7 linked regions of the Cricetulus griseus genome follow. The protein of the gene in region 2 binds, or shares a complex with, the protein of the main gene of each other region. Links are inferred from orthologs where the notes say so. Each region holds a gene or a part of one and is shown on either strand. Other genes may lie near its edges.

Evidence for each region.
Region 1: Alyref (region 2) and Thoc7 share a complex: the UniProt entries of both Homo sapiens proteins name them as parts of the transcription/export (TREX) complex. The link is inferred for Cricetulus griseus from reciprocal best matches to the Homo sapiens genes ALYREF and THOC7.
Region 3: Alyref (region 2) and Ddx39b share a complex: the UniProt entries of both Homo sapiens proteins name them as parts of the transcription/export (TREX) complex. The link is inferred for Cricetulus griseus from reciprocal best matches to the Homo sapiens genes ALYREF and DDX39B.
Region 4: Alyref (region 2) and Magoh share a complex: the UniProt entries of both Homo sapiens proteins name them as parts of the ALYREF/THOC4-EJC-RNA complex. The link is inferred for Cricetulus griseus from reciprocal best matches to the Homo sapiens genes ALYREF and MAGOH.
Region 5: Alyref (region 2) and Thoc1 share a complex: the UniProt entries of both Homo sapiens proteins name them as parts of the transcription/export (TREX) complex. The link is inferred for Cricetulus griseus from reciprocal best matches to the Homo sapiens genes ALYREF and THOC1.
Region 6: Alyref (region 2) and Thoc3 share a complex: the UniProt entries of both Homo sapiens proteins name them as parts of the transcription/export (TREX) complex. The link is inferred for Cricetulus griseus from reciprocal best matches to the Homo sapiens genes ALYREF and THOC3.
Region 7: Alyref (region 2) and Thoc6 share a complex: the UniProt entries of both Homo sapiens proteins name them as parts of the transcription/export (TREX) complex. The link is inferred for Cricetulus griseus from reciprocal best matches to the Homo sapiens genes ALYREF and THOC6.

What each region holds. Positions count from the first base shown.
Region 1 is NW_023276807.1:171,880,540-171,884,623, reverse strand, and holds the start of Thoc7 (THO complex subunit 7 homolog), read left to right. Parts: upstream 1-1,284; 5' UTR 1,285-1,396; coding exon 1,397-1,415; intron 1,416-1,565; exon of another isoform or gene 1,566-1,734; intron 1,735-4,084. UniProt on the Homo sapiens protein: Component of the THO subcomplex of the TREX complex which is thought to couple mRNA transcription, processing and nuclear export, and which specifically associates with spliced mRNA and not with unspliced pre-mRNA.
Region 2 is NC_048600.1:133,091,013-133,095,243, forward strand, and holds the start of Alyref (THO complex subunit 4), read right to left. Parts: upstream 2,801-4,231; 5' UTR 2,763-2,800; coding exon 2,529-2,762; intron 2,206-2,528; coding exon 2,074-2,205; intron 766-2,073; coding exon 618-765; intron 25-617; coding exon 1-24. Other genes in the region: Anapc11 (anaphase-promoting complex subunit 11), read left to right, coding at 3,546-3,654. UniProt on the Homo sapiens protein: Functions as an mRNA export adapter; component of the transcription/export (TREX) complex which is thought to couple mRNA transcription, processing and nuclear export, and specifically associates with spliced mRNA and not with unspliced pre-mRNA.
Region 3 is NW_023276806.1:231,768,469-231,772,464, forward strand, and holds the start of Ddx39b (spliceosome RNA helicase DDX39B), read left to right. Parts: upstream 1-1,196; 5' UTR 1,197-1,353; intron 1,354-2,019; exon of another isoform or gene 2,020-2,042; intron 2,043-2,096; exon of another isoform or gene 2,097-2,172; intron 2,173-2,510; 5' UTR 2,511-2,635; coding exon 2,636-2,846; intron 2,847-3,394; coding exon 3,395-3,522; intron 3,523-3,731; coding exon 3,732-3,824; intron 3,825-3,996. UniProt on the Homo sapiens protein: Involved in nuclear export of spliced and unspliced mRNA. Component of the TREX complex which is thought to couple mRNA transcription, processing and nuclear export, and specifically associates with spliced mRNA and not with unspliced pre-mRNA.
Region 4 is NC_048595.1:41,959,463-41,963,497, reverse strand, and holds the start of Magoh (protein mago nashi homolog), read left to right. Parts: upstream 1-1,235; 5' UTR 1,236-1,330; coding exon 1,331-1,418; intron 1,419-3,508; coding exon 3,509-3,567; intron 3,568-4,035. UniProt on the Homo sapiens protein: Required for pre-mRNA splicing as component of the spliceosome. Plays a redundant role with MAGOHB as core component of the exon junction complex (EJC) and in the nonsense-mediated decay (NMD) pathway.
Region 5 is NC_048595.1:236,160,915-236,164,414, reverse strand, and holds the end of Thoc1 (THO complex subunit 1), read left to right. Parts: intron 1-1,576; coding exon 1,577-1,724; intron 1,725-2,313; coding exon 2,314-2,389; intron 2,390-3,025; coding exon 3,026-3,321; 3' UTR 3,322-3,432; downstream 3,433-3,500. UniProt on the Homo sapiens protein: Component of the THO subcomplex of the TREX complex which is thought to couple mRNA transcription, processing and nuclear export, and which specifically associates with spliced mRNA and not with unspliced pre-mRNA.
Region 6 is NC_048596.1:273,511,545-273,515,478, forward strand, and holds the start of Thoc3 (THO complex subunit 3), read right to left. Parts: upstream 2,801-3,934; 5' UTR 2,712-2,800; coding exon 2,445-2,711; intron 1,936-2,444; coding exon 1,779-1,935; intron 410-1,778; coding exon 205-409; intron 1-204. UniProt on the Homo sapiens protein: Component of the THO subcomplex of the TREX complex which is thought to couple mRNA transcription, processing and nuclear export, and which specifically associates with spliced mRNA and not with unspliced pre-mRNA.
Region 7 is NC_048600.1:43,199,643-43,203,918, reverse strand, and holds the start of Thoc6 (THO complex subunit 6 homolog), read left to right. Parts: upstream 1-1,476; 5' UTR 1,477-1,576; coding exon 1,577-1,615; intron 1,616-4,180; coding exon 4,181-4,276. Other genes in the region: Hcfc1r1 (host cell factor C1 regulator 1), read right to left, coding at 162-297, 509-637, 1,085-1,170. UniProt on the Homo sapiens protein: Component of the THO subcomplex of the TREX complex which is thought to couple mRNA transcription, processing and nuclear export, and which specifically associates with spliced mRNA and not with unspliced pre-mRNA.

The sequences.
Region 1 (4,084 bases), on a different chromosome or scaffold from region 2:
ATTATCCTTCCTCTTACTTCAAGGAAATGAACAGGTTCAAAGTCCAAGTTATGAAAGCCTTTAGCCAATACTCTTTCAAAGAGTCAGGGACTGCAGCTTCAGTATTTAGAAGAGGTCAGTTATGCCTGAAAATCTTCATTCAAGATTAATTTCTGTCTCTGTGACAAAAGTCCGTAATGTACTTGACATATAATCCTGCCAAGCAGCAAAAACCACTTCACTAACATACATTGAATGGTTCCAAGTTTTCTGCTAAAGAACTGAGGGAATTCTGGGCAGATGCATAGACCCCACTTCAGAAAAGTAGTCTGAACCACCAAACTGACCCCCCACACAATTGCTTTATGCAGGATCTGAGGATGCAAGGGACTTGGGAATCACGAAAACTGGAAAACAACAAAAACCTGGGTTCCAAAGTCGAGCACGCTTCTGGGTGTAAAGCTGTCCTGCTGGATGTCAAATCAACCTTACCAGGGGTTGTCTCTCACCACTTACATGGTTCCATTCAGGAGACACTCATCATAGTGATTTTTCTGGAAAGATGACAATATAATCTGCAGAGTGCTCCAGCAATATGTACTCTACACCCCAAGCAACGTTTTTCAATGAGCAGCGCCACCTCCCCCAACACCTTCTACTTTCAACTTCCCTTTAAGAAGCATTTTTTTTTTTTTTTTTTTTTGAAAAGCAGAGATAATACGAAAACGAAGGCACCCCATCTGGATTCTGGCACCGAGGGAGAACTGGGTGAGGGGCAAGGACGGCAGGGACTAAGCTCCTGGTTCTGAGCAAAGTACTCCCAAAGGTCGCCAAGTTTCTATCCCCCACTTTGCCAGCACCTGCCAGAGCTCAGGAAGGGAGGATGGCTTTCCGCGTCCGCCTCAAGGACCCGGGTTCGAGACCCGCCGGGGCGCGCGTGGGCGCCAACTTGGCGACAGTCGCCGCGGCCCCATGCCAACGAGCTAGTGGAACCCGGCGGCCGGGGGGCGGCGGTCACCCGGAGCGGCAGGCGCGGAGCCCCCCGAGCGCGCGCAGCCCGGAGCTCACCTGGCGGCTGGCCGCGGCCTCCAGGGCGGCCTGTGGCGCGGGCCGGGCGGGGACGACGGGGTGCGCGGGCCGAGCCGCCGCCGGCCGCCCGCCTCGCCCTTCACCCGCCGGCCGCTCCGCGCCCCGGGAGAGCAGCGAGCGCGGGCTGCGCGGGTCGCGCGGCGGCGGCGGCGGCGGCGCGGCGCAACTCAGGAGTCGGAGAGGCGGCCGCGGGCGCCGCCGCCTCCTCCTCCATGACTGTTTACCCGGCTGCATTGTGGGAGTTTGACCTCCGTCGCCAACCGCCGCCTCAGCTCGCGCGCCGCCGCCGCCGCCGCCGCCGCCGCCGCCGCCGCCGCGCGCGCACGCCATGGGAGCCGTGACTGACGGTGAGGCCGCCGCGGGGTGCGGGGACGCGGGGCAGCGCCGAGATCCGGGCCGTCCGGGGTGGGGGCTCCCGGGGCGGCCGGGAGCGACGGAGGGCCGGGCGCCGAGCCCGGGGAGCCCGAGTGATGCAGTGCGCCGAGGGGGCCGCCTGGGGGGCTTCCCAGGCCGGGCTGGGTCGGGCCCACAGGCCGTGCGGCGGGCCCCCGGGGGCCCTGGAGTTCGAAGTGAGGTGGATTGCGGGCACCGAGCTGGGGACAGCCTCCAAAAGGAATAGGGGTGTCCGGAAGGCCGGTCGGGAAGTGTATCTGGGCGACTTACAAGGTAAAGCGCCCCGTGGGATGAAGCCGGCGGCTTAGACCGCGACCACTGAAGGAGGGCATGTTGGGGAGGGTGGTTTGTAGGCCTGGATGAATTGAGGGTGATGGATTGTGGACAGCTGTGGTCTGTGGACTGAGAGCAGAAATAAGGGGGCATTTCAGGGAGGTATGGACAGATGCGGCGGGAAGCTGGAACAAGAACTTAACATCGGTACCTGCTTTTGGTAGAAAGGTTTCTGTGGCTTGGAGCTATTCTTGAGAGGGTGACCAGTAGCTATGGGTACCAGTGGACTGACATCCAGAGAATGGGAAGAACAACTCAAGACCCAAATTTGAGGACTGTTGGAGGAAAAGTCTAGGTAGGGATAAATAGAGGAATTTTAATCTTATTTTATTCCAGTTTCGTTTATTCAGTAGGTATTTTCCGTACTTCCAGGCAATGCTTTACTTATATTTTGCAACCCAGAACAGGCAAAGAAGTTTGCTCTTGTATGTTTGCAGTTTGGATTGACTGTAAACGTTAAATAATTGGGGTAGGGTAGGGGTGAAGGTATGGTGTGTGTGTGTGTGTGTGTGTGTGTGTGTGTGTGTGTGTGTGTGTCTGTGTGTGTGTGTGTGTGTGTGTGTCTGTGTCTGTGTCTGTGTGTGTGTGTCTGCCTGCTGCCCTCCCTGCCTCACCTGTTCCCCAGGCAGGCCACCCTTCCCATGTGGCAGTTAGGGGACAATTTGCTGAAGTCACTTCTTTCCTTGTGGGTCCTGGGGATTGAACTGAGGTTGTTGTTGATCTGTCTCTACTGGTGATTAGAAAACTTGAAAAGACTTCCTTCTCACCCCCATTCCTTTGAAGGATGAATGGATATATTAGGACTGGAATTACAAATGACCAGTCATTTATACAAGTCCCAAAATGCTGAAAGAAATTAAATATGTCATGTAGTAATTAGCTAGAACTTAGAAAAAGTTAAGCACCATGAATTTTTAAGGTCAGGGGAAGCCACTGGAAATTTTGTTTGTTTGATTTTTAATTTGGTTTAGTTTGGGATTTGGATTCTTTTGAAATGAGGTCTTCCTAAATGTATCCTAGGCTGCCCTGTAACTTACTATGTAGATCAGGCTGTCCTGGAACTCACAGAGATCCCCACCAGCTTCTGATTCTGCCTCCTAAGTGCTGGGACCAAAGGTACTCCATGTCATATCAAGACAAGTTTTAAACATTAGTGCAATGTTTAGTGCAACATTAGTGATCAGATCTGCTTATATTTAATTACTTGAAGTGTTTTTTTTTTTTTTTTTTCAATGCTGAGGACAGAACCCATGCTCCTATTCATAAGAAAAGTGTTACATCCTCATCCTGATCTACGTGATTTAAAGTGCACATACCCATTCTACTGTGTGGAGAATATTAAGGAAATTGGAAGGGAGGTGCTGAAATCACTTTCCCCTTCAATAACATAGTACTTGTAGCATGTGTGGTGCAATGTTCTAATTATCCCCATTTTATACATAAAACTGATAACCTAAGAAACTTGTCCAGAGTTGTAGTGGTAGTAAGTTCCAGAACCTGGGCTTAAAAACCAAGCCACATCCTGTGTGTGTGTTTTGTCTGCACGTGTGCTTGTGTACCACATGTGTCTGGTGCCTGTGGAGTCCAGAAGAGTGCTGGGAATTGAACCCATACCTCTGTAAGAACAGCCAGTGCTGTTAACTGCTGAGGCATCTCTCTGACTGGCTAATATGCACTGAGCTCAACTCCTGCTGCAGTAGTGCTAGTGAAAGGTAATTGGGCCAGCACTCCAACTAAGGGGATTCAGTAAGTGAACTGGTCAGATGTGCTGGGATGTCAAAAGATGATCTTATGTTTCTTATTTGTGTGGATCTGTGCCTTGCTCCAGAGGAGTGATGAATTTTTCAGGTGAGAGAAGGGAAGGAATGGTGAGTTACAAACTTACCAACTGCAGCCCCCTAATCCTTAGAAGCCATAGGAATCCCCAGTTGACAACTACCAGCTTCTGACCTTGTGGAGGTTACCTAGCTTCTTTGAGGCTCAGTTTTGCTCTCTGTTAATTAAGCTACTAATAAAATCTACCCTGGAGTGCTGTTTTGGAAGTAAAGGACATTGTACTGAATCACACACATGCTAATGTTCAGTGAATCTTTCTAAATACAGAGTACCCTTCCCTGTCTTGTTATGAGGGAAGGAAATTGAACTGAAGTAAGAACTAAGTAATCAACAAATGTGAGATGCTAGCTAGGTACAGAAGGAAATTAGAGGGAGAGGGTGCTGGAAGGGGAGCATACATGCCTCTGTGTTAGTTGGATTAAACTAAGACCCTTTTGTATGCTATGCAAGCACT
Region 2 (4,231 bases):
CGAGTTGAATGTTCATGGGACGGCCTATGGTAAAGAATACAACAAGTCTCACTCCAGAGGCTCTGAAGCTGACCCAGAAGGCACCACACCCTGGTCTCCATGCAAGCTCTAGAAAGGGCCTTTGTGTGTCTCCAATGCCCCCAACAAGGTACAAGGCCTAGAGAGCCTGGTGGGAAAATAAAGTGGCAATAACACCCCACCAACACCTCCTCACTCCTTCTCAGTTCAGGCTAAGAGGGCTGTTTGGTCAGGTGTCCAGGGTGCTCATGGGTGGACAGGTGTGGGTAGCCTGACGGAAGAAGAACAGGTACCTTTGTCTTTACGACTACAGCCCCGCACTCAGGTTGTACTATGGCGGTTCTGAGAAGGCTTCACAGAAGTGAATCTTCCGGAAGGAGCTGAAGGAGGGGAGGGATGTAGCTTGCTGGATGGGGGTTCACAAGAGGTTGGTCCAGATGTGTGGGGCAGCATGAGAGGTGGCAGAATGGAAGAGAGAGACAAAGGGGCAAATGCAAAGTGTCCTCAGCCACAGGGGCAGCCCATATTCCTACAGGGAGAGGTGCCAGCCCCAAACTCCGTAAGCCCCAGGCATCCTGGGCCCAGCCCCATATACTCACCATCTAAAGGGACACCATTGTACTGTTTCATAGCCTTCAGGGCATCTGCCTTCCGTTCAAAGTGCACATCTGCTGTCCCTAAACTTCGGCCAGAGCGATCGTAGTGCACGGCTGCTTTCTTCAACGTTCCAAACTCTGCGAAGAGTTCCTGGAAGTGGACAGGGCAACTGTTAGCCAAGCAGTTAAGCTGTTTTCCCTCTAGAGGCTCAGTTCAGTAGCTGTGAGGGTTCCTGGGTGCTACTTTACTGACCACCACCCAGAAAAGGGGCGGGGCAGAGGCAATCAAGAGGTGAGGGAAGGGTGTCACTTTGAGCACCTGGGTTCCTGTCCACGTTGGGACGTGTGTGACTGTACCATGATGCAGGTGAAGGAAGCACACAGAAACTACCTCTCTCTCAGCAAGGGCACTCACAACCTGACTAATGGCTGTTTCATCAGATAGCAAAGGCCAAGAGAAAAACCAAGGGAAGCTGTTCATAGAGCAGACAGCTCAAAGGGCCCACTGATTTGGGGAGCTGTGACCCAAGCCCCTCCCCCAAAGGCAGATTCTGGCTCACCTTTCCCTCTCCTCCTACTCAAGCCTGCTGCAAAGTCTGAAGTCAAATGCGCCATGGAGACTGCCCTGACCTCAGGCAGGCTGGGAGTTGGAGAGGGAACCCAGAGTGTGGGGCTACTTCGGCCGCAGGCACACAGCGGGAAGTGAAGTTCACCAAAAGCGGTTTCCAGTGGATGCCAGAAACCACCTTAAAAAAAGTGTGGAGACACTGTGAGTGCTCACTGGCCTTGCTCTATGCTCCCTGACAAGGCCAAATGGCGGGGCTCTGAGAAAGGGAACCCAGAAAGGCCCAGCACCCATGACCCAAAACTAACTCCTAAAAACCTGCTCTGTTAACTCTAATTGCATTTGAGGGCCAGAAGAAAGACAGAGAGAGGGAGAGAGGATAGAGATGGGGGGGGGGGGAGAGAGAGACAGACAGACAGACAGACAGACAGACAGAAAAAAAGACTTCAACCAAAGGTATGAGAACAATGCCCCTGGTAAGACCCAGGAAAGGTCAGTCTGGAAGACACACAGCCACCATTCACCCCTGTGCCTTCAGACATGTGGGGGTGGGGAGAGTTTTCCTTCTCATAAGCTTACTACTACAGGCACAAAGCCTGAGAAGCTAGCACCCTCGGTCACACAGGGACCGGACTTGTGGCCAGTCTGTGCCCGTTAGAAACTGTAAGCCTTGCAGACGGCAGGTGCTCGTGACGTTAGCAGACAAGAGCCACTCTGGGGGCACACCAGGCTGCCTTCCAAGCAGCCTGACCTATCAGTCACATTCAAACCCCAGGGGATACTACTTTTTGTGAGGGCAGCGGCTGGCCCTTGGGCAGCCTGGGGGAGCACAGGCTCTGATCAGAAGGGATTCTGTGTGTGGGGATAAGCATGCGGACGGCTCTGGTCTCTTACCTGAATATCTGCGTCTGACACTCCAAAGTCAAGGTTTGACACCAACAGTTTTCCGCCGGTCTCCACGCCGGCTCCACCCCCGAAGCCGCTGTCGAACAGATCGTGCTGCCATTTGTCTGGAAGTTGTTTCGGCTGAAGGGAAAGAGAGGTTCGTGAGCGACCTCGTCTCGGGCGCCCCGATCCCTCCCCGGCACTCACACTCTCTCTCTCACGGCGGCCCGAGAGCCCGGAGGAGACGACCCCCACGCCCGCCGCTCCGCCGCCACGAGGCGGGACCGGACCGGACAAAGCGTCCCGGAAGATCCCGGCCTGTGACCGGGGCCTCGCTCACCGCGCGGCGTCGCCCCCGCCCACCCTCCGTTCCGTTCCGTTCCCGCGGTTCCCGCAGGACGCCCGCCCGCCCGCCTCAGGGCGCCGGGAGCCCGCCCCGCCGGCGCCGCGCCTCCCGTGCTCACCCTGCTGTAAGGAGCCGGCCGGTTCCTGCCGCCGGCGGCGGCGCCGCGAGAGATGGCGGGCCGGTTCCTCAGAGGCCCGCCGCCTCGGTTCACCCGCGCGGCCGCCTGCACCGCCCCGCCGCGGCCGCCCTGGGCGCCGGCCCTGCCACGGCCCCTGCCTCCGCCGCGGCCGCCTCGCTGGCTCCGGTTCAGCTTGATAATATCGTCCAAAGACATGTCCATTTTGTCGGCCATGGCGGGCGCGGAATCGGGCCTCAGATCGAGCCCGCGCGTCAGCACGTCGCTAGGTCACTTCCGGAGCTTCCCCTGGTCTTCCGGCGTCGCGGCCCCCGAAGCTGCCCCTGATTGGCCTCGGCGCGCGCGGAGAGCGGAGGGCGCCTGCGCTGCGCTCAGGAGGACGGCCCGCGCGAGTGTGTGGCGCCCGGCGCGGCGCGGTCGTTTTTATACCTCCCGCGCTCCTGCAACGGAAGGGCGGGGCGCCGCGAGATTAGGTGGAGTGGGCGAGGCGTGGGCGGGGCCTGGCCTGGGATCCGCCCTGCGCAGGCCGGAAGGCGCCGGATCGAGTTCGGTCCGTCCGCCCGCCGAGTCCCTGAGCTGCGAGGCGGGGGGCCGATCTGTGGATCCGATTTGGGGTTTGTGGGCTCGAAGGGATGGTTTTTTAAAATTTAATTTTATTTAAATTTAGCAAGCTGATGGCTTGTCACGCGCGGGTTGTGAGTGAAAACCGAGGTGTTTTTCATGGATGCAGTGGTTTTTGTTTTTGTTTTCCTCCTTTGGTTTTGGGCGGATCTGCCTCCGCGGCGCTGAGGTTAAAGGCGTGAGCCAGCCTGGCCCGCTACCTGGGTGCACAGCTCTAAAAACGACCTTCAACATAGCAAAACAACTTGGGAGCCTGGCTCCCTGGAGGCGCCTAGCACGCAGCTCCCCGCCTTAAATGCTCAAGTGCCGTCTGTGGTAGTAATACAGAGTAACTTTAGCCAGGAAACCCTCTTCCCTCAGGTCGCACGCTCTGCTGCCATGAAGGTGAAGATTAAGTGCTGGAATGGTGTGGCCACGTGGCTCTGGGTAGCCAACGATGAGAACTGTGGCATCTGCAGGATGGCGTTTAATGGCTGCTGTCCAGACTGTAAGTGCCCCCCCTCCCCCGTGCTCTCAGAACTTCGGCCAGCTCCACCAGCCTTGAAAACCTTGGGTTTCCCAGCACTAGGGAGGCAGAGGCAGGAGGATCTCCGAGATTCCAGGACAGCTAGGGCTACGCTGAGAAACCCTGTCTCGAAAAACTAAGAAAACCAGAAAATAAAACCGTGGGTTTTACTTTCCATTTCCTGAAGGAAAGTTGACAGAAAATAAACGAATTCTTCAAACTCACTTTTGTATAAAGACCCTATCCAGCATGGTGGCAAACATCTGTAATACCAGCATTTGGGAGCAGAAACAGGTAGCCTCTGAGTTGGAGGCTACATAATGAGAGTCTGTCTGTAAAAACAAAGAAAAGCAAATAAACAAAAACAACACTTTTGTTTTTGCCAAGGCATGGTGGCACAGACAGAGGCAAGAGGAGGCTTGAGTTTGAAGCTTGCCTGGGATACATTGTGATGATTGGTCATTCTCTTAATTCCTCAAAATGCTACTTCCAGTTTGAATTTTCTCCAAGCAAAGCAGAACAAATGAGGATACCCCTGCCCAGCACACTGAAGTTCAGA
Region 3 (3,996 bases), on a different chromosome or scaffold from region 2:
TAAAGGGGCAATGTCCTGACTGGTGCAAACACAAGCCTTGATTTGCACGACTTTGCTGTGTTGGTGCAAACATCCTTTGCAGGCTGTAAAGTAGAAGTTTGACTCAGTTGGGGGGCTCAACGGGGATAAACCTCACTATGTTACTCTCCTCAGTGCTACTACGTTAGGTTCAATAAAAGGCCTCTCCCGAGGGGTGTTTCCTGGCCTTTTAGGAACAACAGGAAGAAAGAGGTGGCCTAGAGCCTGCCGTCTGGCTTACTACAAGAGTTCCTGGGAACTTCAAAGCCATAGGCCCCTGGAGCTAAAGCATTTCCTACTTTACCAGGGGCCGAGGAATCCCCACCTACTCCTAGGCGGTGGGAGGGGGGCGGCTGTCAGATGCTGAGGGTTGCGGACGAGGGTGCCAACTTAACAGCTGAGTAAAGTGTGCTAACAGGGGAAGCTCGCGCTTATAGTCGGCAGGACATCGCTCCTCGTGTATGCAGCATCTCAAAGAAGGGAGAACCACGTGTTTAGAGGGGGAAGAAGGCCCAGGCTGAACAATGGAGCCGCTGTGGTGGGACTAAGAGCACTCTGCCCTAATTAATAACCATGGAGCCGCGCGTTGGTGGCGCACGCGTTAATCCCCGCACTAGGGAGGCAGAGGCAGGCGGATCTCTGTGAGTTCGAGGCCAGCCTGGTCTCCAGAGCGAGCGCCAGGACAGGCTCCAAAGCCGCACGGAGAAACCCTGTCTCGAGAAAACCGATGATAACGACAACAACTATGGAAAGCTGCGAAGCCCTCAAACGCACCGTTTATTTTGTTAACGCGCGGGCAGAATGCAAACCTCCATCTCCTAAGTGGCCGCCTTGCCGCCGCCATTTGGGGCAGCTCCGCTCGTTCCCAGCGCAGCCGCGAAGGGCGTGCCCGCCCCCCCACCTCCCCCGGCCCCGGGAGCCTGACTGAGCTCGGCACCCTCAGGTCACCTTGGGTGCCAGGCTAAGGGCGCCGTGAGGACGCGTCCCGCTCGGCACGCAGACTCCGCGGTGCCCGAGGGCAGCCTGCGGGGAAAGGACGAAGGACGCCGCGGTGAGGGGGCGGGGAGGTGCGAGCCCGCGTCGCGCTCCGGTCACCGGCGGCGGCGGCGGCGGAGTCGGAAGACCTTTTCCGAAGGCACCCCCGAGCGGGCGCGGCCGGAGCCTCCAGGACCGCCGGCTTCCGGCTGCCGACTTCCGGTTTCCGGCATCGCGCGCCTGCGCCCTGGCGGCCGGGAAGGCGGCAGGCCGGGGGGGAAAAGCGCCCGGGACCGGAAGTGAAGGCAGGTTCCCGCCTGCGTCCCCGCCGCCGCCGCCATACGCGCTCGCAGTGCTTAGGTAAGCTGGGGCCTTGCGCGCCATCCGCCGCCATCCGCTCCGGCCCCGCCGCGCCCGCGCGCGCGCCCCTGATACCCGTCGCCCGGGCGGCGGCCTGGCCGCTGCGGCTCGGTCGGGCGCGCGGTGCCGTCGTTTTCGTCCCTTTCTGAGCGAACCTCGGTGGGGAGCGGGGAGACGGGGGCGACGATCCAAAATGGAGGCCCGGGCCGCCATTGTGTCCCCCGCTTCCTGGGTGGCCCGTGGGTCCCCTTCCCGCGCGGGCCGCAGCGGCCGGAGGCGGCGCTGGCGGGAGGGCGGGCCCGGCGCGGCCCGCGGCGGGGACGAGCAGCCGCCAGGGCCTCTGCTTGCCCGCTGCGGCGTCGGCGCTCCCGGAATGCTCACCTTCGGGGAGGAGCGAGGCTGGGGCGCGCCAGACGCTGTCAAGGCCGCTTGGCACCAAGTCCCAGCCTGAGGGTTGCATTTCCCCAGCTGAGAGCCTGCGGCTTTGAAAGCCCACCCTTGTGGCGAGCGCCTCGCGCGTGGCCGGGCAGGCATTAAAATGTAACTGTCTGCGCTGCCGGCTTCTGGCGTTGTTTGCCTGCTTTTTGGCCTTGAGCCCCTGGCGCCCCTGCTCCCGCGGTTAGGTGCAGCGGGCCCGCCTCCCCGCCCTCCGTCCTTCAGCTCCTGCTCCCCCAGGACTGGGGTCCCAGGTGAGCGCCTCCAGCGCGGCACGCAGGTGCCGCTGGACAGGGGAGTAAGTAGCAGCCACGTGATGTTTGCAATGGGAAGTGAGCGCTCCGCGCAGTGCTGACCTTCATCTATCACCCTTGACTGATGGCTGCTGGGGGGACCAACACCGTGGGGCCACAGGGAGAGCGCAGTCTGAGGTCCCCTCCTGTCCCACGCATTGTCACCCTCCCGCGGGTGGCTTCGGGCTCATCTTTTCACGGTCTCGGGAGTTGCTCCTCTTGGGTCAAAGTGCGAGCCCAAGTCTGTCCAGCAGTCACACCCGAGACCACTCTCCATTTTTTCTCGCCCGGTGTTCGTTTTCTCTTACTTTTCTTCCAGGGCAGAGGTTTGTAGTTGAGGGAGAACACGAAGAAAGTGAGGGTGGGCGAGAAGTCCCTACGTGACTGATGAGCTCTTCTTTTTTTTTTTTTTTTTGTTCTCTCTCCCAGCTCTTCTGTCGGGAAACTGGTGTCTCTTCCCTTGCTGTTCCTCAGCCCCCTCTCTCCCCCTTGCTTTCTCACCTTCTCTGGGACCACTCACCCAAAGACCTCCCTTCTCCCCTGCCGGCCCAATTATGGCAGAGAATGATGTGGACAATGAGCTCTTGGACTATGAAGACGACGAGGTGGAGACAGCAGCAGGTGGAGATGGGACGGAAGCTCCTGCCAAGAAAGACGTGAAGGGCTCCTACGTCTCCATCCACAGCTCCGGCTTTCGAGACTTCCTGCTCAAGCCAGAGTTGCTCCGGGCCATCGTGGACTGTGGCTTTGAGCATCCATCAGAGGGTACATTTTATTGTTGGGCATAGGGACCTCATGATGCATCTTAAAGATGGGATTTGTGTTTAGGGTATATAGGCCAGGCAATGAGAATGTACCCAGATGTTAGCGCTAGAAGATGCTTGTTAGCTTTGATCACACAGGATGCTGTTTGTCCTGTGCCCAGGTTTTCTTGTTTGCTTGATCGTCTTTCTGACTGTTTGGCTGGAGTTTTACATCCAGTATTTTGGGCCAGGCCACCTGGGGTCTTAATGATTGCTCTAAAGTTGCTGGCTTCTGGGGCAAGTACCAAGTCCTTCATTTTGTCCAAGGTTATAGAATGCCAGGCACATGGAAGGTAAGCTGTTGGTAGGTGCAAGAGGGTTTGCGCCAGGGAAACCTGAAGCTAGGATGCAGTTGAGACTTGATTTGGGTGTAAATGTGACTAAGGGGACAGAGAGGATGGGTCAGTCTGAAAAGTGACAGGGACCAGGCAAAATCTGGAGAATCAACTCGAGGAAAGGGGTTTGGTATGGTGCATAAAGTCTCTCTCTTTCTCCCCTTTTTCCTTCTAGTCCAGCATGAATGCATCCCACAGGCCATTCTGGGGATGGATGTCCTGTGCCAGGCCAAGTCAGGCATGGGGAAGACAGCAGTGTTTGTCCTGGCCACACTGCAGCAGCTGGAGCCAATCACTGGGCAGGTGTGTTTGAGGCAGTGCTGCAGAGGGCTTTGAGGCCGATACACTGAAGGCTGTTTGTGGCTACATAATGCTTACAGCAGCAAGGCTTACTGTTTTAAACCTCAGATTTGATGTCACAAATAACTTGACAGATGCTGCTGTTGACAGTCACTCTGGAGAGAGGGTGACAAAGGACTGATAGGGTGTTGTCTCCATTTGTTCCCTTGAAGGTGTCTGTGCTGGTGATGTGTCACACTAGGGAGTTGGCTTTTCAGATCAGCAAGGAATACGAGCGCTTCTCAAAGTACATGCCGAATGTCAAGGTAAGGGTGAGGCGCTTGGGACAGCGGAGGTCCTGGGAGCTTGTGGGGTAACAGTTGACTGTCCTGAGGCATGGAGCCGCTGTAATTGATGAGTTCCTGAAGGCTGCATAGGAGCCTTTAGTACAGTGACAGGCTCTTCTGATCCACAAAGTCAGTTCAGGGGCCCTGGGCT
Region 4 (4,035 bases), on a different chromosome or scaffold from region 2:
TGTGTGTGTGTGTGTGTGTGTGTGTGTGTGTGTGTGTGTGTGGCTTAGAATCACTGTGGGTAAGGTATCTGGGAGTGGGAATCCAATGTCCACTTTAACATCCTCCCACAGCACCTATCCTAGACAGCAGTGAGCCTGGGAGACAGGAGAGATGAGAGGCAACTTGTGCCTAAGAGGTGACACTCTTGGAAGTTGAGGTAGGAGGGTCACAAGTGCCCCGTCAGTCTGCACCTTGCCTATAAATTGTAAAATAAGCAAACGGCAGAAGGGGATGTTGGCAGTGCAGACAAGTTCCAGGCAACGTTGTGGATTGGGGAAGGAGTCATTGAAAACGGGGGGGGGGGGCGGGGGGTGTTGTTTGTTTTTCGAGACAAGGCTTCTCTGTAGCTTTGGGGTCTGTCCTGGAACTCGCTCTGTAGACCATGCTGGCTTCTAACTCACAGACATCCACCTGCCTTAAGGATTAAAGGTGTGCACTAACACTGCTCGGGGAAAAGTTTTCTTAAAAGAGACAGCCAGAGCTGTTAAACAGAGTAACTCTGTCTGGAAAACCCAAAACAAACACACAAAAGTAAAGCGAGCCGGGCGTTGGTGGTGGCGCACGCCTTTAATCCCAGCACTCAGGAGGCAGAGGCAGGCGGATCTCTGTGAGTTCGAGACCAGCCTGGTCTACAAGAGCTAGTTCCAGGACAGCCTCCAAAGCCACAGAGAAACCCTGTCTCAAAAAAAAAAAAAAAAAAAAGTAAAGCGAACTTTTTCGAGACAGGGTCTTACAGTATGCAGCCTCTAGCCTCAACTCGTGACTCCTGGGCGGCGTTAAGCTTTTGAGTGCTAGGCCACAGCTATTCGCTACTACACTGCCCCTCAAACGCAACTCCTGATTCAGACCCTGGGGGTGGGGAAGGGGGCAGCGTGCTCAAAGATGGGGGAGCCATTTTTTGCCCATTTTACTGTGGAGACCACCTGGGTTCAGAGTGTGAATGGCCTCTTTCGTGTGTCTTTACATTGCGGTTGAGCCTGACTGGACTACAGATCGCAGGGTTGGCCCTAAGCCTATAGGTAAAGCTGCCCCGTGGAAGCCCAGGACGTAACGGAAGCGCAGGACCTCGCAAAGCACTCGATTTCCGGAAAGGAGGAGCGGTGATCCGGATCTCGCCGCAGGACGCGGGGGCGGGGTAGTCTCGTTCCCGCCTCCCAAGGGTGAAAAAACTGTTATTAACGGCGCGGTTGTGGCGTCACTTCCGCGCGCCGCCGTTACGTCAGTAGAGGGCGCAGATCGTGGTAGTGTGATCTGTTCGTAAAGTTCGGTCTTGATTGTCCCGTGTGAGCCATGGAGAGTGACTTTTACCTACGTTACTACGTGGGTCACAAAGGCAAGTTCGGTCATGAGTTCCTGGAGTTTGAATTCCGACCTGACGGTAAGAGCGGCCTCCCGCCTACAAGGAAGGGAAACGGGACCTGGGGGAGGGCGGAGAGGCCGGGCCGCGGCTTTTGTGAAGGAAGGGACTGAGACCGGAGCTCTTGGGTTGTGAAAGGCGTAGTCTTTTCTTTCGGCCTCACTGGTCCTTTCTGTCCATACGCTGGAGCTTCTCCTTAGTAACTTTTGGGTTCTTTTGGTTTTTCGAGACAGGGTTTCTCTGTGTAGCTTTGGAGCCTGTCCTGGCAGCCTACTCGCTCTGGAGACCAGGCTGGCCTCGAACTCACAGAGATCCGCCTGCCTCTGCCTCCCGAGTGCTGGGATTAAAGGCATGCACCACCAACGCCCGGCTTCTTAGTGGCTTTAAAAAGCCAGGTTGTTAACGTTTCAACAAAGATTGATTGAATGTCCATCTTACACCGGGCCGTGTTCCACTCTGGGGACAGAGCCACGAAGATAAATTTCCCCTCTCGTGGAACATGTGTTTAGGTACTGGGAGAAACCATAAACAGTGATCTCCTGTAGTGAGGAGTGATCCGAAAATAGGGTCTCTTTTTCGAGAGCACTCTGAACAGTGGGTATTTGAATTGAGCCGGAATCGAGAAGGGACCAGTCAGTTTGTGAAGCTCAGGAAGAAAAGTCTTCTATCGGAGTGGCAAATGTAGAGGTCATAGGACAGCAAAGAACCAGGCATGTTTCAGATGGCCGTTGAGGTGACTGAAGGACAGAATTCTAGGGAAACCAGTAGGAGATGATGTTAGGTGTTTGTAGACCATAAATAGGAGCAGCAGGAAACAGCTTGAAGCTTATAAGAGAAAAGGTGTGATGATCTTCAGAAAGCATCCTAGCGCTTGGACACAGAATAGACATGAGATGGCGGTCGGGACTAGGACAGCTAGGACTATAGACGTGGAGAAGACTTAGGATACTGTTGGAGACGATCTGAATGTATCTGATTGATAATATTTTGGGACGGTTGTGGTGTGGTGAGGAGGCAAGGACAATTCTACTCAAATCTTTCCCTTTTTCAGTTAGTTCTCTATAAGATGGACAAGAACATGTAGCAAGAGGCCTGTGTAATTAGATGACTGTAGTTCTCTGATACTGTCAATAACTTCCCTCTGCCTTCCTGACAAAATTCAAACCCCTTACCATGGCATACAGCCAAGCTGAGTTCCTGTCTGCCTTTTCAACCCTACAATACTCTGCCCACACTACTTTGTTTCTGCCTGCAACATCCCAAGCACTTTTTAGTTTCCAGTGTCTTTGATGTGAATTTGGTCCAAAACACCATCTTCTCTATTCTTGGTCCCTTAGCCCACACCTACACTTCACATTCTTCCTATATTCCACCCACCTAAGTCACTTTATGCATGAAACCTGCTCAGACAGTCAGACTAAATTAGATGCTTCTCCCCAAAGTTCCCTGTTTTTTTCTGCCACATGACACTATATACCCAAACTAGCCTGGTGGTTGTACTCATGCACAGAAGGACTTATGAACCAAATGTGCTCAATTTAAAAGTATGCAGAAATAGATCATACCACAAGACCACATGGGCATGTGTATGTCGCTTCCTACCGTTTTCAAAATACTTTCAGCATGTTCTCTGTGCAGGGAACTTAGCAATTATCATTTCTGTTTACAGCTGAGATCATTGACCTGCTGAAAAGCTATTTGCCAGAGTCGTAAAAGAGCCTGCCTGTGTTCTTTTGCCAAATCAAAGTAACTTTTGCCTGAACTCTATTTCAGTGTCAGGTTAGTCTTCAGCTGTTTCATAATTTAAAGTGGAGCACTGTAAAGACTAATATAATAGCTGTGAATTGGGTTGAACATTGAATATAATGCCGGCTACAGCGGTGGTTGCCCACACTTTTAGTCCCAATACTCAGGAGGCAGAGGCAGGTGGATCTCTGTAAGTTTGAGACCATTCTGGTCTACAGATCGAGTTCCAGGACAGCCAAGAGAGAGAATTGGATATAATTTAGGCAAAGTTGGTATTGTTAGTAGGCTACTGAGTTGATGTTTTGTTGTAAATTGCATTTATTTATTTATTTATTTATTTATTTATTTATTTATTTGCCCCACAGGAAAACTTCGATATGCCAACAACAGCAATTACAAAAATGATGTCATGATCAGAAAAGAGGTAGGACCCTGTCCTTCACTACCAGTGAGCCCTTTACATTGTTTCTGCGCTCTCTGGTAATAGTAATGAAAAGTAAAGAGTGGAGAAACAAATACTTCTTTTTCTTTGTTTTCTATTTGGTTTTTTGTTTTTGTTTCTCAAAACAGGGTTTCTCTGTATAGCCTTGGCCATCCTGAAACTCCCAAGCTGGGTTTGAAGGTGTGCTCCATCACACCCAGCTAAGCACTATTTCTACACGGCTAGATTATTTCTCACATCTTTGGTTTGCATGTTTTTTATTTATTTATTTATTTATTTATTTATTTATTTATTTGGATTGCTGAATTAATAACTAGCAACTTTTTGAAATCTCTGTGTTGGTTTGAACCCTCAATATGCTCCATACTGACCATGTGACCTCAGATAAGTTCCCTGGCTAAACTTGGTCACTATACTTCCATCTGCAAAATGAGGGATAATAAAACCTAC
Region 5 (3,500 bases), on a different chromosome or scaffold from region 2:
GTTTGCCTTTTGCTTTGCTGTCCCCTCCACCCTAGATTTCTGGGGTAACTTTTAAGACTCACCATCTTTTATCTAAAGAGTTTCATGTGACAGTATTTTTAGGTAGGTGTTTTGGAGTTGTGATTTAAAGGCAGGGGCTCTCGTCAGAATGTGTAAGTTCCCATCCTTGTGCCTTTTCTCATTTGCTAAATAATAGCCACTCATTTCACAGAGTTATTCTGAAGATTAAATGGTTCGTTTTGATCCATATACAGCATGTTGCTGACACATGATATAAATGACTAGTTTTGACCCCATGATACGTTTTTACATGCTCCAACCTCTTAACCAGTGTGTTCTATTCTCCATGCACCAGAGAGTGATCTTTTGAATATATACAGGGAAGAAAAATGTATCAGAGATTAAGGGTGCTGGCTGTTCTTTCCAGAGTCTGAAATGACATCTTCTGGCCGCCTTTGGCATACACAGATAATCATGCAGGCAAAACACCCATATACATAATAAAAGTCTAAAGTATACAAGAAATTATGTTGGGCATGGTTATACACACCTTTCATCCCAGCACTCAGACACAGAGGCACGTGGATTCTGAGTTTGAGGCCACAAGTCTACATGGTAAGACCTTGCCTAATAATAAATACATACATACAGACAGACAGACACAAAGGGCAGGCAAGGTAGTAGCACACACACAGAAAGAGTGGACATGGGAGCACATACTTATAATCCCAGCACTCTGGAGGCTAAAGCAGGAGGATTAAGTTTGAGGTTAGTGTGGCTTATAGAGTAAGATCCTATTAGTAAAATACGCACAAGTCTCATCTCGTGCTTAAAATGAAGAGTGTATATCAGAGTTAATAAGAGGCCACCAAATAAACCAGATTGCAGATCTGTGCTAAATACAAAGAACATAACAAAGCCCAAGATAGAATCCGTTTATTGGGGGCGGGAGTCCTTAGGATTTCTCATAGGTTCTTTTTCCTCACCTTCTGATTCTTTTCTTGACATCAGTGTGTCACTACTGTGGGTACTGGATATTTGCTCTTTTGACATTTTGAGCCATTTTTAATCATTGACATTGAAATTAAGTGAACTAAAGATTAGCTGTTACATAAACACAACTCTAAATACAGGTCCCTTATTGAAAATACTTGCGGCTGTGTTTTCAGATTTTCCCCCCCATATTTGGAACATTTTAGACCCTAGCAGGTAAGCATTTTAAGAAAAGTTAAACACTTAAGGTTTTAGGTTAGAGATCTCCAACTTGTATTAGTTACATTAACATGATAAACTCGAATTTATGAAATACTCTAAACTCACATATCTGTAGGTAGCAATGCAGATACAGATACCAACCAACTCACCAAATATCATTTTTCCTATCTTTCCTTTTCTTCTGTATAACTGGATGAATAGTTTCTATGTAGCCAGGGGTTGAGACATAGACCACTGACTTGCTAAAATAAGCAAAATATATAAACTTTCAAACTAAAGGATGGTACAAAATGTCATGTGACATGGAAACAACTATGGAAGTGGATAATTATAAATCCAAGGCTAACAACTCCTCTTACAGAGCTGTGAACAATTCAAATTATGGGTGGAGAGCTCTCAGGCTCTTAGCACGAAGAAGCCCTCACTTCTTCCAGCCAACCAACCAGCAATTTAAGAGTCTGCCAGAGTACCTGGAGAACATGGTAATAAAGCTAGCCAAGGAACTACCAGTAAGTGACATACTTCATTTTTCCCATTTCCTTTAGTAGACATTATCTGCTTTAAAACTGCTATCAGTATTTGAGCAGAACTCAAATTTTAGTGTATCACACAACAGTAGTAGTGGGGGCGGGGGAGGACACACACAACTTGAGGCAGAGGTTGTTGTTGAACATTCACTTAGGGAGAAAATGTGAACCAAGAGTGGTATAATTTTCTGTGCAACACCCAATTTATCAACATGTTGGAAAAAGCTACTGCCTGCAGTAAATTGGATCAGTTTTTGCTCTTACCAAATGTATTTTACTATATTTTGTCAAGAGCAGGGTCTAGGAGTAGCAGTAGGGTACCTGGCAGTGTTTTCTTATAGTACGGTAACCATAGACATGGTTAATCTCTATTGCCCCTTAGACAATACTGACTAAAGCCTAGGTGTTTACCAACCTGCTTGTTCATGCTTCTCTGTCTTCCTTCTGCCCAAAATGACAGGACCTACAGGTTGAGAGGGTCTGAGGTCCATTAATTACCTATCTAAACTATTTCCTGTTATCTTCAGAAACTAGTGTTTTTTTAAACACCATTGTTTCTCATTTACTATAGCCTCCTTCTGAAGAAATAAAAACAGGTGAAGATGAAGATGAGGAAGATAATGATGCTTTACTGAAGGAAAATGAAAGTAAGAATTGAATTTTTGAATTGAAATTGAATTTTTTGGCTATTTCACAAAACTGAAAAAGATTAGGGTTCTTTGTTGAGAGGTACATTGTATAATTTGGTCTACTTCTCAACTTCTACCATTTTATCTCAGTTTACAGTGAGATTAAAGCCATTAGTCACTTAAAATACATTTTATATAGGGAAATTTGGAAATAATTTTAAAGATAAAAAAGATGGGTGTTTTAAGGCAGAGCCTTGAACTCTGCTAATTTAATTGGGGCTAGAAGGAACATCTCTATGGGAAAATCTTCCTAATTAATATAGCTTTGAGCTGGGCGTTGGTGGTGCACGCCTTTAATCCCAGTACTCGGAAGGCAGAGGCAGGCGGATCTCTGTGAGTTCCAGGCCAGCCTGGTCTTCAGAGCGAGTGCCAGGATAGGCTCCAAAGCTACACAGAGAAAAACCCTGTCTCGAAAAACCAAAAAATAAAAAATAATTGCCTGAATTGTGATTTTTTTTTTTCCTAAGAAGGTATGTAACCTATGTAGAATTAAGTTTTAAAGTAAAGCTTAATGTGACTAGTAACCCAGTTTTTTGTTGTTGTTCTTTAAGCTTTGCAGGTCTTTCAGATAATTTATATCCTCTTGTCTTCTAGGCCCTGATGTTCGGCGAGATAAACCTGTAACAGGGGAACAGATAGAGTTATTTGCCAACAAACTTGGTGAGCAATGGAAGATTTTGGCTCCGTACTTAGAAATTAAAGACTCTGAAATTAGGCAGATTGAGTGTGACAGTGAAGACGTGAAGATGAGGGCCAAGCAGCTCCTTGTTGCCTGGCAAGATCAAGAAGGAGCTCATGCAACAACAGATAACCTGATCAGCGCACTAAACAAGTCTGGATTAAGTGACCTTGCTGAAAGCCTAACTAATGACTCCGAGACAAATAGTTAGCTTGCTTTCTTTTCTTTCTTTTTTATTAAACTGTGATAAGATTTTGTTACCAAGCGGCATTTGATAAGAGGTCCAGTGGTTTTGGTAAACAATAAACAGTTTTATAACAGCTGTTGCACAGTTGGTTAGTGCTTCAAGAACTACAAAACAGGCACTGTCTAAACCTTAGTTTGGAGTAT
Region 6 (3,934 bases), on a different chromosome or scaffold from region 2:
TAAGTGAACATTTACAATCAATATCAGTAAGAACTCAATAAAATGCAGAATATCTGGCTCAAATGTGCCCCTAAAAAAAACTAGGATTTTTAAATACTTTTTCTTTCAAGTCTTCTAGGTTAGGCTCACACTTAACTCATCTATGTACCTGACATAGCACCCAGTACAGAGGTACAACAGTCCCTCTAGCCAGAAGCCCCTCACCTGAGAATGTTGATACAACCGTTGCCATTGGTCAGGAAGAACATGTTATTGTCGTTATTCCAGGAGATTTCATTGACCTCAAACTTGAACTGCTCTTCCGCTTTGGAACGGTGTGTCTTGGCATCGATAAAGGTGACAACATCATCCTTGTTGCCCACAGCAATGGTCTGCCCATCGGGACTCCAGCAGATATTAATGTTCTCCCCTGGGAACCCAGACACAAGCCATCAGCAAGATCATCCTTGCCCATCCTCCTCCAGAAGCTTATTCTGCTACCCTAGAAAGAAGATCAGAGCTCTCTTCAGTGCTCAAATCACCAAGACAATGGAAGAAAGCTGCTGCTGGCAGCTAACATTTGTCCAAAAGTACCACGTCACACCACTCCCAGAAACCAGTCTTGTCATCTAAGTCCAGGAGTCGTCCACACTGCACACAACTTCATGGAATCAAAAATGCCATTTTTCTTTCACACTTTACTATCTATAGTGCATTTAAAAATCTATCAGAATTTGTTTCGGAGCAGGGTGGTGGTGGCACACACCTTTCACTCCAGCACTCAGGAGGCAAAGGCAGAGAGAGTTGGATCTCTGAGTGGATAGCCTGGTCTACAGAGAGAGCTCTAGAACACCCAGGTCTACACAGAGAAACCCTGTCTCAAAAAAAAACAAAGCAAAAATGCTTTGTTTAAAAATAAATAAATAAACAAAAACATTTTTGTTGTGGGGCTGAAGAGATGGTTCGGCACTTAAGAGCACTTGTTGTTTTCCAGGAGACCCAAGTTAAATCACCAGCACCCACAGTTCACAACCATTTGTAACTACATTTATAGGGGATAAGATGCTTTCTTCTGGCACCTGCATACATGAGGCACACATACTTGAAAATAAAAAAAAAAATCTAAAATAAAAAATAAAAAGAATTAAAAAAAAAAAGAAAAAGAAAAAAATCTGGGGCTGGGGAGATGGCTCATCGGTTAAGAGCACTGACTGATCTTCCAGAAGACTTGGGTTCAATTCCCAGCACCCACATGGCAGCTCATACTGTCTGTAACTCCAAGATCTGACACTCTCACACAGACATATATGCTGGCAAAATACCAATGCAAATAAAAGTAAATAAATTATTTGAAAAAAATTAAAAATCTAAAAACAACAAAAATGTTTCTTAAAAGATTGTAGATGACCTCTTAGAGTCAATTATGCTAGACTCAAGATTTACAGGGTATTATATAACAAGAAAACAGCGTTTGAATGTGATGTACAACTTTCCAATCATTTCTTGGAAACCAAGATCATCCAGGTTTCAGCCATTCTAACCTGCCAGAATCTCCTAAATCCTCTATGCCTTCACACACACTACTCCTCTTTGTATTGTTTCCACCGCTCTGACCAGTAACTACTACAGATGATCAAAAAACGTGCTCAAATTCTACTCTTCCTTGTCTCCTCCAGACGGACATGTATACATCATCCTGATAACCCACTCTGTGGCACTAGCTGCAAAGAACACGGTCAACAGTTTCTGGAAACTATAATTAGCTTTTCTACCTAAGGCTCCTCTCTCTCTGAAGTTACCTTTAGTATTCACAGTGGCGATGCACTTTGTAGTCCTCACGTCCCAGATGCGAATGGTTTTATCTCCAGATGCGGTGACAAAGAGGTCAGGGTTGCTTGGGTGCCAGCAGAGCTGATCCACACTATCTCCGTGGCCCCGGTAGTTGTTTTCTTTGACCTTAAAAGAGCAGAATCCAGGTGTCACTTCACACAGATGCACCTGCCTCCACACGCAACTTAACTTTTATCCAAACGGTGGTACCCTGAAACCGGCAAAGATGTGGACGATCCAAAAGAATCCAGTCCTTTCCAGAACTTCAGCCCCTGTGAATTGTTCTGAGCTTGGACACTGGCTCTTCTCTTGCCCTTCCTGCCCTCCCCTCTTCCACCACCATCATCATCCCAATCCAACGGTCCATTCCCAAAGGAGGCGCTATCGTTTCCAAATAAAACCTCTCGACCCCGTGGGGATGCCAGCACTCCCCGCCCAGGGCTGCTCTAGACCCTGACCACTGCAGGCCACCTGACTGCACCTCTCCGTCCCGCAGCCCCTTCGCCACCGCCTAACTGCCACCAGGTTCCCGCTCCGCGCTCCTCCGGGCGGCCTCGCCCGCTCACCGCACCACCAACGACGGTGCCCACACCACGTCCGCCTCTTCCCGGCCGGGCCGGGCCCTACAAGCTCACCAGCCGGTCCTTCTCCAGCAGGAACACGCTGGCCGTCTTGTCGAAGGACCCCGAGGCCAAGCGACGGCCGTCGCAGCTCCAGGCCACCGAGTGCACCTTGGCACTGTGCGCCGGGAACTCGCGCGTCTTGCTGTGGCCTCGGAACAGCTCCTGCATCCCGAGCACGTAGCGAGACGGGCCGCTGCTCATAGAGCACCAGGGCGCCATCGAGCCGGGGCCGCTCTGGCTGACCGGCGGGGGCCCCAGGATCGACGTGGGCGCCGCCATGCCTCCGTCTCGCTCCCTCGCTCTCTCTCTCAGTAAGGACCGCGTACCGGCGGCTACAGACACCGGGCCCGGCGCCGCTGCGGCGCGCATGCGCCGGGAGCAGCGCGCATGCACCAGGAACGCCGCCGCGTCACTCTGCGCAGGCGCGCGTGTCTCACTGGCGCCCCTCCCCCCAAGGGACTGCAAATCCCGCCATGCAACGCGTGTCCGCCTCTAACGTTTGGAAGTAGCATTTTGGAAGAGTTCGACTTTTTTAATGGTCTTCTAACCCGTTTCTTGATAGTCTCGCTTATTCGAAGAAGAGAACCAAGATAAAGCCTCCAGTTTACTTACCAGTAGAATATCTTTTTTTTTCCCCTCGAGACAGGGTTTCTCTGTGTAGTCCTGGCTGCCCGGGAACTCACTCTGTAGACCAGGCTGGCCTCGAACTCGGATTCTCCTGCTCCTGCTTCCCCAGTGGGGACATTAAAGGCGTGCACCACCACTGCCAGGACAAAAATACCCTTTTCAATAGAGCTGTTTTTTCACTACAAGGCCCTCTTCCCTCCCTTAAAGCAGAAGGCCACAGCAAAGGAGAAAGGTTAGCTGTTTGTGGAAATAAGGAGTTGGTTAATGAGAGTGTGGATTTGTTGGTTTGGGTTGGGCAAGGTTGCTTGGTTGGTTTGGGGGTTTTGTTTTGTCTTTTGATCCTAGTTTTTAGAATATATTGCATATGTATGATAGCAATTTTTTTCTTTTTCTTTTCTTTTTTTTTTTTGGTTTTTGGAGGCAGGGTTTCTCTGTGGCTTTGAAGATAGTAAATTTTTAAGAAGAGTGAAAAGTAAAGTGACCACTTGTGTATGCTACATTCACATCTCAGCGCCTCCCACTTCTTACATCTCTCTTAGACAAAAGATATTCAGCTGGAAAAACATCAATGGTGAGCTCCAGGATGAGCTAAGGCGCTGTACAAGAGCTCTGAGCTCGGGATAGGGGGCCCTGAAGGAATATGTTCAACATATAATGTATACTTGTGTGAAAATGTCTGTATGAAGCCAGCTGTGGTGTCGAAGGCTTGTAACCCCAGCACTGGGGACGCAGAGGCAAGCAGGCATTTTTGGAAACTGTGAAGATTTTATACAAAAAAGTGTCAGTGAAATCAATGAAGTCTTTTGGGTACAAATCTATTTGCTAATTTTCCCTCCTTACATTTCTTTTTCAAATATTTCATATGATTGCATATT
Region 7 (4,276 bases), about 90 Mb from region 2:
GTGATACTTTCCCCTTTCCAAGCTGCTGCCCCTCCCATTCAGGGTATCACTGAGCTTGATTATCATCTGTCCTGTTACAGGGGAAGGACCTCATCCTTTTCTGGGGGTTGCTGGTCTTTGTTGTCAGGAACAAGGTGAGGAGGGACACTGGCCATCAGCACTTAGAGCTCCATGATATCCCCAGCTGGGGATGCAGGGTAGTAGGGACTGGGAGTATCCCCCAGCCTCAGCAGTCTGAGGGCCTCAGGGATCAGGCTCCCGGGATAGCGCCAGAGAAGCAGCTCTGGGCAAGGGCTCCTGAAAGAAGAAGAGAGACAGTGAAAGTATGGGGCAGAGGCTGGCCTGGCAGAGCCACCTCCTACCAGGTCCAGATCCCCTGGAGCCAAAGATGGAAAACAGCACAGAAGTTGGCTAGAAGCTAAAAATAGCATGATGAGGCAGATCATGAGGAGGGGCTCTGAGGACCGAATGTGATTCTCTAGAAGGCCCTGCGAGGGGAGGTGCCTACCTGAGTGGTGGCAGGGCTTGGGGAAAAGTCACAGGGGGACTGCAGTAGGGGTGGTCATTATGTAGGCTGAGTCGGGAGAAGTGGGTGGCCATGTTCTCCTCAGACAGAAACTGCTTGTGCAAGGGTTCCCTGGGGGAAAGACCAGAGAGGAACAGAGGGTGGAGGCAAACTGATGAGGACCAAAGGTGACATCTAAGGAGACCCATCTGCCCCCAAACTTAATGCTCCTCCAGGGGTTTCCGTGCTCATGGGCACAGCTCCTAGGAGAGGGGAGCTGGGAAATAGAGCCAGGTGTAGCCCACCCTCTCTCTTTACCTGAGCTTGCAGAATAAGCCAGGATTCCAGAATCAGTCTTGTCTGTGTGGCCTAAGCCACTTTACTCTCTCAGGCCATCATCCACCAGGCTACCTCGGAAATCCTGACCGTGGCTTCCCAGTTCCAACACAAGCTCAAACACCACGGTTTCCTGTACCACCTTGCCTCTCTTCCCAGGATCACCCTACTGACCGGCCCTGGGCCCCCAGCCAAAGCTCTTGCCCTCCGTTAGTCCGGCCCACGCAGGGGCCGCTTACGCACCTAGCGTCCAGGCCGCGAGTCACCCCAGTGGTGGCCCGTGGATCACGATTTGGAGGGCCTCGCTCCAGGGGCTGTTGTAGGATCATTACGGTCCGGGGTCCTGCAGATAGAGGGGTGGGATCCAGGCGGCAGAGGCGGAGCCTTTGAGGGCGTGGTACAACGCGAGGGGCGGGGCTACCGGCGTGCTCACTGGAGACGTTCGACGCAGGCGCGGAAGGCGAGCACCGCGAGGTTAGAAGGCGGGACAGGTCGGCGGGGTGGGGGAGGGGATTCGGTGTAGCTGGGCAGTCCTGGACGCTACTTAGCGTAAGGGTGCTTCGCAGAGTTCCCCTAGGTTTCAGTGGTTCGAGACAGCACCGACCTGCCGCCTTAGTTGTTGAACGGCCGACAGTGCCAGGTCCTGGGGCGCAACGAGAAGAACCACTCTCACGCACGTAGGGAGTCGAGAGGTTGTGTCGCGCCTAGAGCCCTCTGGGACTTGTAGTTCTGAAGATGGATCACGTCGCACCGTCGCCGGTGCCTCTGGGTCAGGTGAGTCGAGTGTGCGCACAGTGCCTTCTGGGGTTTGTAGTCTTGCCATGACCTGGTGGCCAAGAAATACTCGGACTCTGACTCTGACCCCCCCAGAATAGTGATCCCCGGTCCTTGGGATCTAATAGTGACATAGGGACTAAATGTCAGTACATTTTACTGTGAAGGATAATAAAGCCACTTTAAAAAAAACTAGCCGTTGGACGTAGTTCCACACACCTGTAATGCCAGCACTGGGAAGGCAGAGGCAGACATATCTCTGTGAGTTAGAAACTAGCCTGCTGCATAGTGAATTCCAGGTCATCCAGGGATACATAGTGAGACCCCAACTTAAAAAAAAAAAAGTTTAATCATTGTACATGAGCCTTTTTTAAAACCCTGGGCCTTAGACGCAGTAAGAACATGCTCTGTCATTTAATTATACCCCAGCCCAAGAACTGCTTGTTGTTTGTGAGACAGTGTCATATATCTCCAGCTTTCTTTGAACTTTGTTATATAATGGAGAATGACCTTGAACTTCTGCCTCCCTCTGAATGTTATGGGCTATTGGGTGTGCCATAATGCCCAATATATACAGTGCTGGTGCGCAAACACAGAACTTTGGGTTAGAATAGGTTTTAGCGGTTGGAAAGATGGAAGAGGACCCAAGTTTGGTTCCCAGCACTCAAATTTCAAATCTTGTAATTGCCTGTAACTCCAGCTCCAGGGGATCTGCATCCTTTTGCCTGTGTGGACACCTGCACTCACTTGCACACACTCCCCTCACACACATATACACATAATTAAAAGCAATAAAAATAGAATCTTTATTTTTTTTTTCCAGACAGGGTTTCTCTGTGGCTTTGGAGGTTGTCCTGGAACTAGCTCTTATAGACCAGGCTGGTCTTGAACTCACAGAGATCTGCCTTGCCTCTGCCTCCCGAGTGCTGGGACCAAAGGCTTGCGACACCGCTGGCCGGCTAAAAATAGAATCTTTAAAAAAAAAAAAAAAAAAAAAAAGAGAGCATAGGCTTGTTGGTGGTGGAACATGCCTTTAATCCCAGCACTCGGAAGGCAGAGGCAGGTGGATCTCTATGAGTTTGAGGCCAGCTTGGTCTACGGAGATAGTTTGTGGATAGCCAGGGATTACACAGAGAAACCTTGTCCCCCCACAAAAACAAAAAACAAACAAACAAAAGAACATGGTCTACCCATTGAGTAGTTACCTTTTTTTTTTTTTTAAACAAGTTTTCAGGAAGTACAGCAGGCTGGCCTGGACCTCATAGAGATCTGCCTGCCTCTTCCTCAAGTGTTGGGATTAAAGGTGTGCCTCCACGATAGGCTCATTTATTTTCTTGTAAGATTTATTCATTGTTTTATGTCTATAAATGTTTTCCTAGCAGTTGTATGTGTGCTATGTATGTTTATCATATCCTCGGAGGCCAGAAGAGGCATCACAGGGGGCTGGAGAGATGACCCAGTGGTTAAAAGTGCTTGCTACTCTTCTGGAGGTACCAAGTTCAGTTTCCAGCATCCATATAGGAGTGGGTTTACAGATGCCTGTAATCCAGTTTCAGGAGACCCAACAAGCTCTTTTAGTCTTCATGGGCACTGGTATACACAGCACACACACACACAAATTGAAAAAAACAAAACAAGACCTAATGACTCAGTGCCTTTAACGTCAGCACTTGCAAGGCAGAGGTAGGCAGATCTCTATGATGCCAGCCTGATCTACATAGAGAGTTCTGGTACAAAGAGGGCTTCTTGTGAGAACCTGTCTGGAGGGACTGGGGGAAGTGACGTCAGCTCTCCTGGAACTGGAGTTACAGATGGTTGTGATCTGGCATGTGGGTCTGTAGGATTCTCTGCAAGAGTAGTGCACACTTACCTGCTGAGCCATCTTTCCAGGCACACCCCCCTATTTTAAAAATAGATTTATTATTTTTATTCACTTAGTTTTTTGAGACAGAGTCAACATATTTCAAGCTGGTCTGGAGTTTGCCTTGGAGTGGGGGAATGTCCTCCTGCCTGCAACTCCTGAGTGCTGAAATCACAGGCCACAAGTGTGTGCTTGTTTAATGCAGTGTGCAGTGCTGGGGACTGGTGCATGCTAATCAAACACTATCAGTTCAGTTACATCCTCAGATGTGTGTATGTGTGCGTATTTGAGACTGTCTCGTGTAGCCCAGGCTACCCTTGAATTCACTATGTAGCTGAGGATAATCTTGAATTTCCTCTGATCTTCCTGCTTCCAACTGTTAAGTGCTGGAATTACAGTTGTGCACCTACTAAACCTGGCTACAAAGCTCTTACTGTTCATTAGTTACCTAATTATGACCAGCGTTTCCTGGGAGTGCCATCTGTCTACTAAGCTGACAGGAGAGGCTTGGTGCTTGTTCTAAGTGTTAGGTACTGTGCCCCTGTTCTCCTTTTCTCACTCTCTTCCTGGAGCCACTCTTGTATGGGGAGATGCCTGTGGCTGTGGCTGAGCAGGGCTGAAGTCTGGGCAGGGTAGACAAACAGGAGTCTGCAGGAGGAGGACCCAGACCTCCCAGAATCTCCTCATCCACCCTCTTCCCACAGGCTGAGGTAGCGCAGGCCCTGCAGCGCCTGCACATGACCATCTTTTCCCAGAGTGTCTCGCCCTGCGGGAAGTTTCTGGCAGCTGGCAACAATTAC